2 linked regions of the Neodiprion lecontei genome follow. The protein of the gene in region 1 interacts with the protein of each later gene in a pairwise test. Links are inferred from orthologs where the notes say so. Each region holds a gene or a part of one and is shown on either strand. Other genes may lie near its edges.

What was found. The genes of interacting proteins can lie anywhere in the genome.
Region 2: the proteins of leucine-zipper-like transcriptional regulator 1 (region 1) and gamma-tubulin complex component 4 interact in binary tests that used the Homo sapiens proteins (3 or more experiments, as listed by UniProt). The link is inferred for Neodiprion lecontei from reciprocal best matches to the Homo sapiens genes LZTR1 and TUBGCP4.

The regions. Positions count from the first base shown.
Region 1 is NC_060262.1:24,978,917-24,986,695, reverse strand, and holds the start of leucine-zipper-like transcriptional regulator 1, read left to right. Parts: upstream 1-1,775; 5' UTR 1,776-2,043; intron 2,044-2,113; 5' UTR 2,114-2,162; coding exon 2,163-2,269; intron 2,270-2,725; coding exon 2,726-3,034; intron 3,035-3,355; coding exon 3,356-3,470; intron 3,471-3,568; coding exon 3,569-3,735; intron 3,736-3,892; coding exon 3,893-4,878; intron 4,879-5,050; coding exon 5,051-5,253; intron 5,254-5,321; coding exon 5,322-5,606; intron 5,607-6,012; coding exon 6,013-6,147; 3' UTR 6,148-6,195; intron 6,196-6,297; 3' UTR 6,298-7,779. UniProt on the Homo sapiens protein: Substrate-specific adapter of a BCR (BTB-CUL3-RBX1) E3 ubiquitin-protein ligase complex that mediates ubiquitination of Ras (K-Ras/KRAS, N-Ras/NRAS and H-Ras/HRAS).
Region 2 is NC_060260.1:32,567,864-32,574,351, reverse strand, and holds gamma-tubulin complex component 4, read left to right. Parts: upstream 1-1,603; 5' UTR 1,604-2,309; coding exon 2,310-2,378; intron 2,379-2,453; coding exon 2,454-2,595; intron 2,596-2,808; coding exon 2,809-3,002; intron 3,003-3,163; coding exon 3,164-3,258; intron 3,259-3,337; coding exon 3,338-3,654; intron 3,655-3,834; coding exon 3,835-4,308; intron 4,309-4,394; coding exon 4,395-4,572; intron 4,573-4,736; coding exon 4,737-4,959; intron 4,960-5,115; coding exon 5,116-5,364; 3' UTR 5,365-5,959; downstream 5,960-6,488. Other genes in the region: E3 SUMO-protein ligase PIAS2, read right to left, coding at 1-4, 406-684; osteoclast-stimulating factor 1, read right to left, coding at 6,285-6,488. UniProt on the Homo sapiens protein: Component of the gamma-tubulin ring complex (gTuRC) which mediates microtubule nucleation.

The DNA.
Region 1 (7,779 bases):
ATACAGGAGCAAACAAAACTGTTCTTTGATAAAAAATTTCAAGGCGCTTAGCGTCCAACGACAACTGGTTTTGATTAATTAAAAAATGAGCACAGTGCGGGAATAAAATCCAATTCCGATCGTAGTGTGATGAACTAAAGTTATTTAAACATATTTATTATTCAGTTACGATTATCCTAAGTGGCTTGGGCTATTACAGACTTGGGCTATGTTGAAATTCTTATTACAAATTGAAATATATACAGTTATAAAGTTATGGCGAGAACTGCACAAGCCTAGAAGTTCGGATGGGAGGTAAAAGATAGTAAACGTTAATGTAAATCATCGTAGTGTTTAAAAAAGTTTGAAGAATTTGGATAAATAGTTACAACTATCTTATCACAGATTTGATGAATAACTAACTATTATTTAAGCGATCCCGTTGAAGATTAAAAATCAAACGTTTGTTATTTAAATTCTAACTCAATAGCTACATAACTGCCTGTTGTATTTAAATTGTACAAACTAATGAATAGCCGTGCTTCGTTTATCCTTATTTATCTTTGATCAAGTAAAATATCTCACTCTCAAATGGGTGGACTAAAATATAGTAATGACTTAGATGTTATACAAATACGTCGGCTCTGCCTGCCTTATTAATATTTTAGTAACATATATTGTCTAGTATTCACATAAAGTTAACGTTAGTAGATAATTTATGTTAATAATTAGCCTGTATAGTATTCAGTTGACTATATACTTGTGTATATTCATTTATAATGTAGTCACTTACTTCCGGAATATTTCTGGTAAATAGTGTAATACTATCAATGTGAATATTAATGACATTGTCAATAATCATCCCTGAAAAATTTTATTTTAATTCTTTTTAAGCATGTTTCTACTTTTTCTGAGGTGATCAAACTAGCAAATGGTCCTAGATTGATTTAAATTTGGCTTCATAACAATGTAAAATATACTTTTTTCTACCCAACAGACAACTTGTACATTTGATATAGTTTTGATACAAAATTGAATTGTTATACGTATTTAGTTGTGCCAATGATCAGTATAATTTCACAAAGAAATTTACTATTTTTGGTGTTACCGAGCCTATTAAGAGAATGTTATAATTTTGTTGGTATCTCGTAATATTTTAAGAGTTTCAATGACCCTGATAAAAACAAGTAATTACTTCTGACAGTTGGATTTTGTTCCGCAGTTTGAACTTTCCCTGCCAGCTTTTTTCTCTTAATTCATCAATTCAACATGTCTACAACTAAAATCTCTGATCATTTAATTACCTCTACGACTGAATTGAAACAAAATATCATAGATAACTTTTTAGTGAATGCATATATAGGTATACATATTTTTTATTATACGCTTTATGTTATTACAAAGATGTCATGAATAAAAATATAATTGTGCACATGAACATAATATTGAGATGATGTTTTTATTGAAAGATTCTAGGTGTGTAACAATTAGAGCTGGTCTAATTGCGCGATTTTCTTATCATGATATAAAAGTACTTGAAACGTTGAATTTCAATGAAACATTGCCAAATAATTTTCAATTCAAATTCTTCCAATATTCACAAGAGTAATGATAAAAAATTAAGGGATACCGAATTGACTAAACTTAGATAGGTCTGAGGCTATTTCGATTTTGATTTGTCAAATATAACTACAATAATCTCATCACTGACAGTTAAGATAATATATAGGATATTATCTTACTGACAGTGTGCACTGAAAGAAATCGTGATAGCAGAAAATAACGCCTGCCAATGGGAGAGGATAGAAATATTATGAATGAAACCCACGCACTTCTGTCTATCACACGCAAGCTCGAAACGAATGAAATATCGATTTGATAAACAAGAACCCCGAATGGCCAGAATTTCGCGGTTGAAAAAATACGAATTTCTGATTGGCTACAGAGGGTCATCCACCTGATTTTGACACTCGACATACAAATGTGACAAACGCATAATAATGATGTAGAGTAACGTTTCGCAAAATCACAATATAACGCTGCTTTCATCTGATACAAAGATAAGTGAGTACTTATTTTGTTATGCAACTATTGAACGGACAATTAACGTAATTGGAAATGCAAATAATTTGAGGTTGTGAAGCTCCTTTAGAATCGGGTGAAATTTTACCGACATAACCGAAATGGACAACACAGCGACAGCCGAGTGTCTCACCCTGGATTTTGGGCCGTTCGAAACGGTTCACCGTTGGCAACAAATGCCAGAATGTGATGAATTTGTTGGAGCCAGGTGCGATAAATTTTCGTCAATCCATTTCATGCATTATAGGTTATGTCAGTTTATGTCAAGTTATAACATCGCTCTTCACCGTTTGCTTTCCTATTTTAATCCAGCAATTGAACCGCTTACTGATGCATTAGAGATAATGTTTCAATTCACACATGCTATACTTCATGACTTTGATGGAGCAGATACACCTACAAAAAATTTGTTTCAATATATTAAGATTCTGAATAAAGTTAAATGAGATCCTCTGTAGAAGAGTATCAGTCAATCATTTGTGCAGCTTCTTATATTGATGTCAACTGTCCAAGTATTGTGCTAAAAGTTTGCCAGAAACAGGTGTTTCGTTACTTTATGAAAGTCATTTACAAAATTTGGATATCTTCATCAGATAACATAATAAAATATCCCCTTATAATGGTAAATAAGTCAACATCCATCTCTATTATTTTTTCTACACAGACGAAGTAAGCACACGGTAGTAGCATATAAAGATGCTATTTACGTATTTGGAGGAGATAACGGAAAGAAAATGTTGAATGATTTGCTACGGTTTGACGTTAAAGAAAAATCTTGGGGTAGGGCGTTCTCCACTGGGATTCCGCCAGCACCAAGATATCACCACTCAGCCGTAGTTTATGACGTTTCTATGTTCGTTTTTGGTGGATACACTGGAGACATTCATTCAAATTCTAATTTAACCAACAAGAATGATTTATTTGAGTATAAATTCAAGACTGGTCAATGGATTGAGTGGCGGTTTATTGGAAAGTAAGTTGATTGTGACCTTTATCAACATTCCTACAACGATGATAAAAATATGGAGCTTTCCATAATAATTATGGTACCTGCTCCTCTCATTATTTGAATCTATTGAAATCATAAACAAATTGCAGAGTATTCGAAGAGCAGAAAGTTTATGTCCAAGCATCTAGTTGTGATATGAAGTAATTGGCCAGAGCAAGACTGTTCATGTCTAATAAATATATATATGTGAATATATATATGTCTGCACCTGGCATTGGAATATTATTGCTAAACTACGAACTATGTATAATACTTATTTTCATAGTATCTCTTTCAAATCTGTAGAACACCTGTACCCAGATCAGCCCATGGTGCTGCAGTGTATGATAATAAGCTTTGGATATTCGCTGGGTACGATGGGAATGCTAGATTAAATGATATGTGGACCATATCGCTGCTTGTAAGTCAATTACATTCACACTAAATTATAATTAATAGATAGTAAATTTTTTTATGTAAAAGTAAGAGTTGATTAAATAAAAGCATTGTGGTTTATAGCCAGGAGATATGAGAGTTTGGGAAGAAGTTGCGCAATCTGGAGATTGTCCACCAACGTGTTGCAATTTCCCTGTAGCTGTTGCTCGTGAATCTATGTTCGTTTTCAGTGGTCAGAGTGGAGCCAAAATTACAAACAGCTTGTTTCAGTTCCACTTCAAAGACAAAAGGTCGGTGAAATTGGCATACCAACATCAATAAAGTTTTTTAGTCAAACAAATATCCAAATTCATTATGCAAAAATGCAGACTTTCATTACAAGACTTTTGTAATTAAGAAGCACTCGGATTTTTTGACATAATGCGTGACATGAATTATGTTCAATAGGTGGACTCGAATATCCACAGAGCATATATTGAGAGGTGCTCCACCTCCTCCAGCTCGCCGTTATGGTCACACAATGGTCAGTTTTGACAGGCATCTCTATGTCTTTGGTGGAACGGCAGATTCAACCCTACCCAATGATTTGCATTGTTACGACCTGGATACACAGACATGGAGTGTAATTTTATCATCGGCAGACAGCCAAGTACCATCTGGACGATTATTTCATGCTGCAGCAGTAATTGGGGAAGCTATGTTTATATTTGGAGGCACTGTAGATAACAATGTGAGATCTGGTGAGATGTACAGGTTTCAATTTTCTTCTTATCCTAAATGTACTCTGCACGATGATTTTGGAAGATTGCTCAGCAGTCAACAGTTCTGCGACGTCCAATTTATTGTTGGAGAAAGCGAAGAGAAAATACCAGCACATATTGCTATGGTAGCCGCACGATCTCAGTGGTTAAGAGCTAGAATTAAACAAGCCCAAGATCAGAGAGAAAAGCATCTTGAAAAAATTTTAGGCATTACCGATCTACCGCTCAAAGATTTACCGTTGCTAGAAGTCAAATTGAAGGATGCTGTGCCGGAAGCCTTTGAAATGGTGTTGAACTACATATACACTGATCGAATAGATCCTACCAAAAAAATAGAAGATCCGTTGAGCAACAGAATCGTACTTCTAATGATGGACGTTTATCGACTAGCTGTTCAATTTCACATGAAAAGATTGGAACAACTTTGTGTTCAATATCTTGAAGCTACTATCAGTCATGCAAACGTTCTTGAAGCACTTCATAATGCAGCACTTTTAAAGTTGTATTTTATTAAAGAATTCTGCTTGAGTTTTGTTGTCAAGGACAGTAACTACAATCAAATAGTGATGAGCCAGGAATTTGAAACATTGGATCAACCCTTAATGGTAGAAATCATAAGAAGAAGGCAAATGCCGCAAGCTAAAAACTTTCTAAAGTCATACGAATCGACAGGTACTTTATTTAATATTGCCAAATTTTGGTGTTTAAAGGAATCTTTTAGTGAATACTTTGGAATAAAGACAATAACAATAACAAAGTGTGTCTTATTTAGAGCATAGATTCATTACTTATTGCTTGACGCTTTTACATTTTGTATGGTGATAATTTTATTTTTCTTGAATAGAATTTGCACACATTCATGTGTTGGGAACAACTCTAGAGCAGGATATGGAGGTCTTTTTAAAGAGTGCGAGCACCGAATTTTGTGATATTATGCTGATGTTGCATGGGACACCCATACCAGCACACAAGGCTATCCTTGCCGCTAGATGCAGTTATTTCGAAGGCATGTTCCGATCTTTTATGCCTGAAGACAACATAGTGAACGTAAGTATATTACTAGGCCCTCTTATTATTGATTGTAGTACTTTACTTGTAACAAATACCATTTTCAGATCCAAATCGGAGAGATGATTCCTTCAAAAGAATCATTCGATTCCCTGCTCAGGTATATTTATTACGCAGATGTCTTAATGCCTCCTGAGGACTCTCTGTACCTATTCACTGCACCAGTATTTTACGGCTTTACAAATAATCGCCTGCAAGCCTTTTGCAAGCAAAATCTTGAAATGAATGTTACGTTTGAAAACGTTATACAAATTCTTGAAGCTGCAGATAGAATGCAGGCTATTGACATGAAAAAATATGCTCTCAATCTGATCGTCCATCATTTTAGTAAGGTATAGAACAACATTTCTTGAAAGAAAAGTTTAATGCATAATATGTGGAGCATACTTATGTAAATTGAGTCACCTTGATTCCTGAATGTCAAACTTTGTTGTGATACTTAACTTTTTTACACTCTGTGGAAAAAAATCCATACATACGTGCACTCGTGCTTCACCTAAATCAATGAGACCTTATTATAAATAAATTGCTTTTTTTTATGTAGGTGCAATACTGTTGAACAATTGAGTTGAGGAAAAATGTTGATTGGGATCGTTTTCCAAGTACTCGTTAAAATTTAGAAAAATAATCCATCAGTTCTAATCCAATTTTTGACCACAAAATATTTACCATTTTTGGTTTCCATTGACTGTGGAAGCGATATTTGAGCATCACATAAATGGTGTACCTAATTTGTAGGTGGCACGATTGCCAAAATTGAAGCAGTTGAGTCGAGAACTTTTACTGGATATTATAGAGGCATTGGCGGATGAAAAGAGTGAGGCTCGAATGTGTCAGGACATGTCCAGTGCTAGTCTTTCCAGTGACTGCTGACAGACTTCCAGTCAGGTATGGAGAGCTCCCATGCCCTCCAGTTTTCAGGTTTGTATTTACAAGAGAATAAATGAGTTATTAAGTTAAATGGGTAAATATTATATATAAATAAAATGGAAAACAAATGGTGAAAAATGTTTTAATTTTTAGGAGTTATTTCGAGTGAATTTCATCTTGATAACACGCATGATACTGTTCATTGGGAACTACTACTTTGATTTAAAGATGTGTCCGCAATATAGACAAGGCTACAGGCGATGTAACCATAAGAAGAAGCGACATCATCGATTTAAAATTCACTGACAGTTGGCATGACTTTTATTACGACTGCTAGCGTGTCTCAAGAAAAAAGATGACACCAGCAGCTTCAACTATTGAATTTTTTTCACATGAATGGATTATTACGTGATAAGTTTTTGAAATCTCGTCACCAATTTAGTCATACTCAATTTATAGTATAGTAATAGCAGACAGCTAATTGTTAGTAATATACTTGTTGCCCTTGACAATGACCAGTAAAAGCATGTCTCAACGTTCTTGTATTGGCTTCAACAAATCAATAATCTGCTCAAATAACATGATAAGCATAAGTGTGATATTGGTCAGTTTGCAGCGTTCGCAGGATGAGTTCATTTACGAAAATTAAAAAATAAATTACCACAGTAAATTACGTTATTATTTATTGCAGTTAGTAGTGATTTCGAATAGTTTTTTACTTTTTCCAAATAAATCTAGTCACACTTAACCCGGTGGAAGAATTAGAATTAATGATGAAATGACACAAATCGTACAATACTTATGGTCATTTCTACGATAAAAAAAATATGAAGCACGTATCGTACTATGTTACAAGCTTTTGTATAATAAAGAGCTGTAATACGATTTGCTGGTAAATTCTAGTAAAAACAGAAATTAGTTTTACGAAATCTTAAGATATTAAGCACGCGAATTAGCACGAGTTATTGAAACATCTGCGCAAGAATTCAACATTCCACAACCGTAATAATAGAATATTTTGTTTATTAATTGTGAATTTAAGAAGATTCGGGTCCTATCACTATCAAAAGTAACTACCGTTTCAGGTTATCCTAATTTCTAAATTTCACGGTTATCCTCTCTCAAGTTACATGATATCGTAGTTATTAATTAGGTAGTTAATTACCTATATTTAGAAAATAATTTTGAATAACAGATGTAGTCCTTTAATGTTTTATCTTTACTATTCAGAAATTCTAATGTATTGTTACATTCATCAAGACATATTGAGCGAAAAAGCATTGTCTCCGTATAAATGATAGCATTGACAGGTTTTTTTAAGCATCACTGAAATCGTATACATAAGTTTGTATTCATTAAGCAAACCATAATTAGCGAAAATTGTATGGTTAAAAGTTTTTTCATTCACTTGAAGTGTTTGCGAACGTGTGTTATGTAAGAATTTGATACAGCTAATCTGCACCTTGATCTAACGTTGGTGTAATTAAATTTATTTGTATATATATTTTTAATCAATTTATGTATCATTGATTGTTTTCTATTTACGAGCATTCTTAGTAATGTATGATCATACTCAAATGACAGTGTTGAGTGTGGAAAGTTCAACTTATTCAATATTCAATATTGATATTGAAT
Region 2 (6,488 bases), on another chromosome or scaffold:
TACTCTGAAATAGACAATTGACATTTTTATAGCCATAATAGCCCAAGATAATTATAGACAAACTGAGACTTCACAGAATGAGAAAATGTCTTTAATGATAACAACATTAGGCAATAACGACAAATTCTTCCTGCTAGAAAATCGTACCGTTTCTGTCTAGCTATATTCTCAAATGTTATTACACTCTATAGTACTAGTCGGAAAAATATATAATCAAATATGACAATTTTTCCCAACCTGCCATATACGAAGTGCACAAAAGTAAACTCTTGTGCCCAAAGTAGATAGATGGGGAGGCAATTCCAAAAAATTTTGTAGAGTAAAATATGTTGATTATTTGAATAGCGTGATGCATAAGCTAGAGATAGAGGTTACCCATTGTAGTTATCAGTTGCTCCTACTTGCCGTCTCGTATCCGCATTCCTGTGTTATGCTTGAGATACACGAGAAGTTTCCGAATTGAATGAAGATACGTTTACGAAAATATGGAAGTTGGAAATTGGACGAATGTGAAGAAAAGCGAAAAGCCGCGTGTGAAAATAAATGTCGCTTAGTATGATCAAACGCAGCCTTGCTTGCGTTGGCAAGACATTGGAAGAGTTTGGATATGTGAATGTTCGATAATTGGTGAAAAATAAGACACGGAAAAATCAATGACTCAAGTTTCTGGAAGGCATTTAACATGTGGCTCGTTTAAGTCAAGATAATAAGATCTATTTTATTCTCGTCCTACCTTCAGTTCTTCCGTATCCGCCATCTTCCTCGACGATTTTTTTTGCGAAGCCGTCTTGTCTGCTGTGCTTCCCACCACTTGAAGAAAATTCCCGTTCGTTTCCCGCGTTGTACGCCGAAATTTTTATTTTCGCTGTAATATGCTGAGCACTTTTATGTCCAGCGTCACAGAAGACTGATCACTCCTTATCTTAATTGTTATTGTATTTTGGAAAAGCTTTTAGTGGCCTTTGACGATCACAATACGTCTGGGTTCATGGAATTATTCAAGTTTCCTTCAAGTTAAGACTTGGAAGTGAAATTTAAACAATTATTTGAAATTGTTCGGAATAGACTGCGTACTGGCTGCGTTTACTCCGAAAATTTATCTTTTTCCAAGGCTATGCTCCAAAATTAGTTGACAGTACTGTCAGCAATCTTTTATCTTTGTTGTATTTCAAGTTTGACCACCAGTTCTGTTTCTAGTTAATGAATTATCAACGGTCGCAGCTCATTTCGGAACACACCCTTCTATATGGGTAGCCATAGACCGCTAGCCAATGTCCACGTGCGCCATCTGTGTAATTTTCATGCAACAGGGCTATGAGAACGACTGTAAAACATTATAGAAAAGATTTTTCTCTGATATAAAGATGTATATTATATTATATATGCACACAAAAAAATCAATTTGATAACTGTAGAATATCTGTCAACGGTAGAGGATTATTCTTATTGTAGGGCAATAATTCACGCGCATTCTGAACGTTGCTATAACTAGTTAGAACGGAACAATCATGTAAGAGTCAAGAACATTAAAATCTTACCTACGACATGCCTACGACTAAACCGGAAGTTTTACAAACTTGAAGATTCCTGGTATTTCGGAACATTCAATTTCGTTCCTTCAATTTTTGACTAAAGATATTCGAAACTGCTAGCCTTATGGACTGCTGAAGGGCGAGGGGGAACGTTACAATATTCTGCTACGCCGACTTGATCTTGCATTAGGATCCCGCGGATTGGGATGAGACGAGTCAGTTGTTAAGTGCAGGGTAGTGGAATTACACCCAAACCTGCCCAGTAGAGCTGGCAAATTACTATCAAAAATAACGCAGGGCTAGCTGGCAGTCTCCAACAGTGTCCATCGTTTCACAAATTGTTACCGAGAAGTTGTTATAATGTTTACAAATATTGTTTTTGCATTGGCAGATTAATTGGAATTGTCTATGGCATAGCAATTTTCGAATTGCGGTTTGCATTGCAGACTGTAGCAAACAAGTGTGCTTTGATTTCCACAGATACACCAAAGGTTAATGAGAAATTTGAGAGAAAATCAAAAAATTCAATAAATATCTACCTCCCGCTGATTTTAACTAATTTCTCGAGAAGTTTCTTCCCTTAAATGCCGATACACGCATGCAAACACGGTCGTGCAATTGACGATGCACTTGAACTCGGAAGTGGATGCGTTTACACCAATGATTCAGACGTGTTCTCAAATCAAATTTAATCAGACTTCAATGCTCGAACAGCTCCAAACAACCTGGACTGGGTAGACGGATCTTATTGTTAAATGTGTTTTTGAAGCGAAAGAAATGCTGCACGAAGTTTTATTGTCTCTTTGGGGTTGCACGACTAATGTCGTACAAATTATAGACACTGATGTAAGAACTGCATCGTTTATGGAGTTGACAGTTGTCAAGATATAACCTCCAAAATCTGACAAACTATGTTTACAGTTTTTAGAAACCGAAAAGCTTCTACACCCTGGAGAGCAAGCTTTGATTAAAAAAATTCTAGGCATTGCGGAGGAATGTAATGCAGTGAGAAATTTTATAAATGCCCATACGTCTGTTATTGGTGCTCCGAATGACGCAACTGGTACAATATATTACCAAATAACATTCACATTAAAAGTAAACTAGCAAGATTTGTTCATGCAAAATATCTGAATTACACACTATCAACATTTCTTCAAGAATTTTCACTAACCCACAATTGACAAATTTAAAACATCTTCGACTATATCAAGGTTAATGCTTTATAACTGTCTGATTGCAATACGATTGACATGATGCTATTTTGCTTACACAGGAAATTTGAAATGGGGCCTTTATCTGCAGGCCTTATGTGACGGTATGGAACAAGCAATACAGCCGTTTCGCGAAGATGTTATCGAATTGGAAAAAATCGTGCTGAATGACGCGTACACGCCATTGACCTTCATACTATCACGAATACAAAAATATCTCTGTTTATTCTCAGTTCTGAATTCCATAATAAGTGAGGTACACATATCTCTGAATTGTTGACTCATATTTGCGTTTTGTTTTAGTTAAAACAAAAATTGGTCGGAATTATATACTTTAAAATCACTTGTTATCAATCAGGAATATAGATGAAAGGTCAAAGTAAAGAAACATTATGTGTGATACATGTACTGTTTTAGATTCGAACCCAAAAAGTTCATGGCTGTAAAGTATTACAATACTTGCATCAACACATGCACACTGGGGTACCTGAAGTGCGGCAGGCTTTAGAAAAGTATGTGAGCTCAAAGATTCTTCTATTTTTATAAAATTAAAAATGACTCATATTATCGATCAATTTGATATACTTTCAGGATGATGTATTGCTGTCATGTCGTGTTTTATAAACAACTATCCAGTTGGCTCTTATACGGAATTCTGGAAGATGTTCATAACGAATTTTTTATTCAAAGAGCATCTAAACCACAGGATAGTTTGGTTCTAGCTAAGAGTAAAGACAGTTCTGGTATAGCAGATGAAAAATCATCAAAAAATTTATGTGCAGACATGTGGGATTACGAAATAAAAATCCATGTACTGCCATCTTATATAAGGCCATCATTAGCGCTTAAAATATTGACCATTGGTCAAACTATTATCATGTTTGGAAATGATCCCAGACAAAAGAAAGGTATACTTTTAGTGTTATTGTGCTTGAATCACTAAACCTATCATCCACTGCAACAGATGTGTATTAAACTGATTTGTTTTTACATACAATTCTATTAAAAATATTTGGAGTTTTCTAAATTTTCGAAATAGATGAAATAGAGAAATTTTTTCTAAAACGAATTAACACTTTAATTTCCAGATCTGAGTATATTCACAAAGGCTGAAAACTCAATATGGGGTGCAAAAGAGTACGAGCATTTTCACGAGTTACAAAATTTGAAAAATAAAAGAACTTTTGATATAATTGAATTTGAAAGAACTGTTGATGAACTCAAACAGTGTGTCACTGAACACTTATGGAGAGTTGCGGTTGAAGAAGCACAGCTTATGCATCAAATTAAACTGATAAAAGACTTTTTTTTACTCGGTCGTGGTGAATTGTTCCTTGAATTTATTAGATTAGCAGGTCACATATTAAATAAAAAACCGACTAGTCATACCACCAGGGATATAAATTTATCATTCCAAATAGCTGCACGGAAAATGCTCCTACATGATGAGAGCACAACGGAAAGTTTTGACTTTCTTGTTCCTGTCCCAGAGATTGAAAATGAAGTTGGTGAAGATCCAGAAGATGGTGAATTTTCAAGAAGAGAACGCGAAGACCCCATTGGTAAATAAACCATTCCCATTAATATTGCTGAATCATGACTAATGTCAACATTTTGCATGAATTGACCATGAAATTTTTAATTGCAGACACAAGAGGATGGGGACTGATTCAGCTTCAGTACAAAGTAGTCTGGCCATTACATTTGTTGTTCAGTCCAATGGCGTTGTGCGATTACAATACATTATTTCGATTTTTGTTGAGAGTAAAAAAAACACAAATTAATTTACAAAATCTATGGTCCGAACATATGCGAACAAAAAATGTGTAAGTTCATTTATTTATTGTTAGTAGTGAGAATGAATTGACCGACCACACCAGTATTTACTTCATGTCGCGAAAAAATTAAACACATATTGGCATTACTTCAAAAGTAGGAATTTCGAATCTCTTGTAAATACGTAACTAACTTTTAATGTATTTCCAAACAGTGATATTGGAGTGATGCAGTTGAGAAACAACTTGATGTTTGTTATCAACAACTTACAGTATTATTTACAAGTAGATGTACTAGAAAGTCAGTACACAATTATGGAAAATACTATGAAAAATACGCGCAACTTTGAGGAGATTCAAAAAGGACATTCTGTATTTCTAGCCAACATTATGTCACAAACTTTTCTGTTCCAAGGTTCCAGTGATAAAGTCAACCCAGTAAGTTTCTTTCCAAATTATTCACTTCTTTTCGAGTTACATATTTTAAATATCACAGTACATTTCGATGTAGCACATATGTTTGCAACTAATCAGCATCAGTTAAACTAGGATCAGATATATTTATACTCTTGTACAAACAACTAAATTTTTTAGGTCAACAAGTTGATAAAAATATTGTTACGGCTGTGCGACGATTTCATACTGCAAGCACCCATGTGGGAATTGGGTAATTTACTAGTAACTGAAAAAGAAGAACTCAAAGCATTAGCCGACACTTTAAATAGTCTTATGGATTGGCTAACAAAAACTTTGAACAAAGTACGGGCGCAACCAGCAGGGACACATTTGGCACAGCTATTACTGCGACTTGATTTCAATAGATGGTTCAGTGGAAAATCTTGAATAGTTTCAGCAAACTTGTTCATATTGAACAAAAATGATGACCAAAATTTTTTTATATAATGCACAAGGCAAGTTGGTTAATTGTTTTGAGTTACCACGATTTGCTCTGCACAGGTATTTACTAATAGCAAAGCATGCATAGTAATAATTTCGAGTACGTCGAGTTACTCAAGTGTGAAATTACTGAACTCAGCTGCAAGTTGTATTGTAAATTATTTTGCATGGTACAGAAACATGAAGTGAATCTTATTTTGTTTTGTAAGCAAATGGCATGACATTAATTAGAGTAAGTACGATTACGGTATTGTTAGTGGGTAAGCAATGCTTGATTCTCTAACATATTGTTGAATATATCTTGAATAATACTCAGTCTTTTCCTAATCACTTATTTACTTCATTGTTAGTTATGAGAATGAATTTACCTATTATATCAGTATTTATTAAACTCTCCAAAATTAAATACATATCGGCAATACTTTCACAGCTTACGGATGAAATTCGAAAACAGATGTATTATATCTAAACTATAAATTAATAAAAACGTTATTTCTTGATAAAATTTTCAACGTAATGACTCATTTCTAATTTTAACATTGTAAAATTTCAAAATACACTATACTAAAGAATTCATTAATACCCTGGTAGAAGTACTCTGTTGAGATCCTCGATGTAAAATACGTACTTGAAGCTACAATAATAATAGTATTTTCGAGCTCACATTCGGAATGGTATGTGTGTTATTATGCAGGCTGAACTTTTCACAGTTAAACTTACATTGTATCACTTTTGTCTTACAATGAACACAGAATTCCTTTTTTTTTTCCTGTAATATGTTCAATGAAGAGACAGCTCATAAGAGAATTAACGTACATCAGGAAAGGTTACTTATTAGCACTCCTTTATGAGTGCTCCTTTCTTCATTAATCACTCTCATCTTCATAGTCATTATCATCGTAACAATGATTAGCAGAATATTCCCTGTAACTCATTTGTATAGTATTTATAACTGCTGCGTTGCTAGCCAGTTCTTCTGGTATTAAATTATCACTGTTCTTAAGACTAGCATCAGCTCCAGCTTCCAGCAACATCTCTACAACTTCTAAATGTCCATGGTTTGCTGCTGC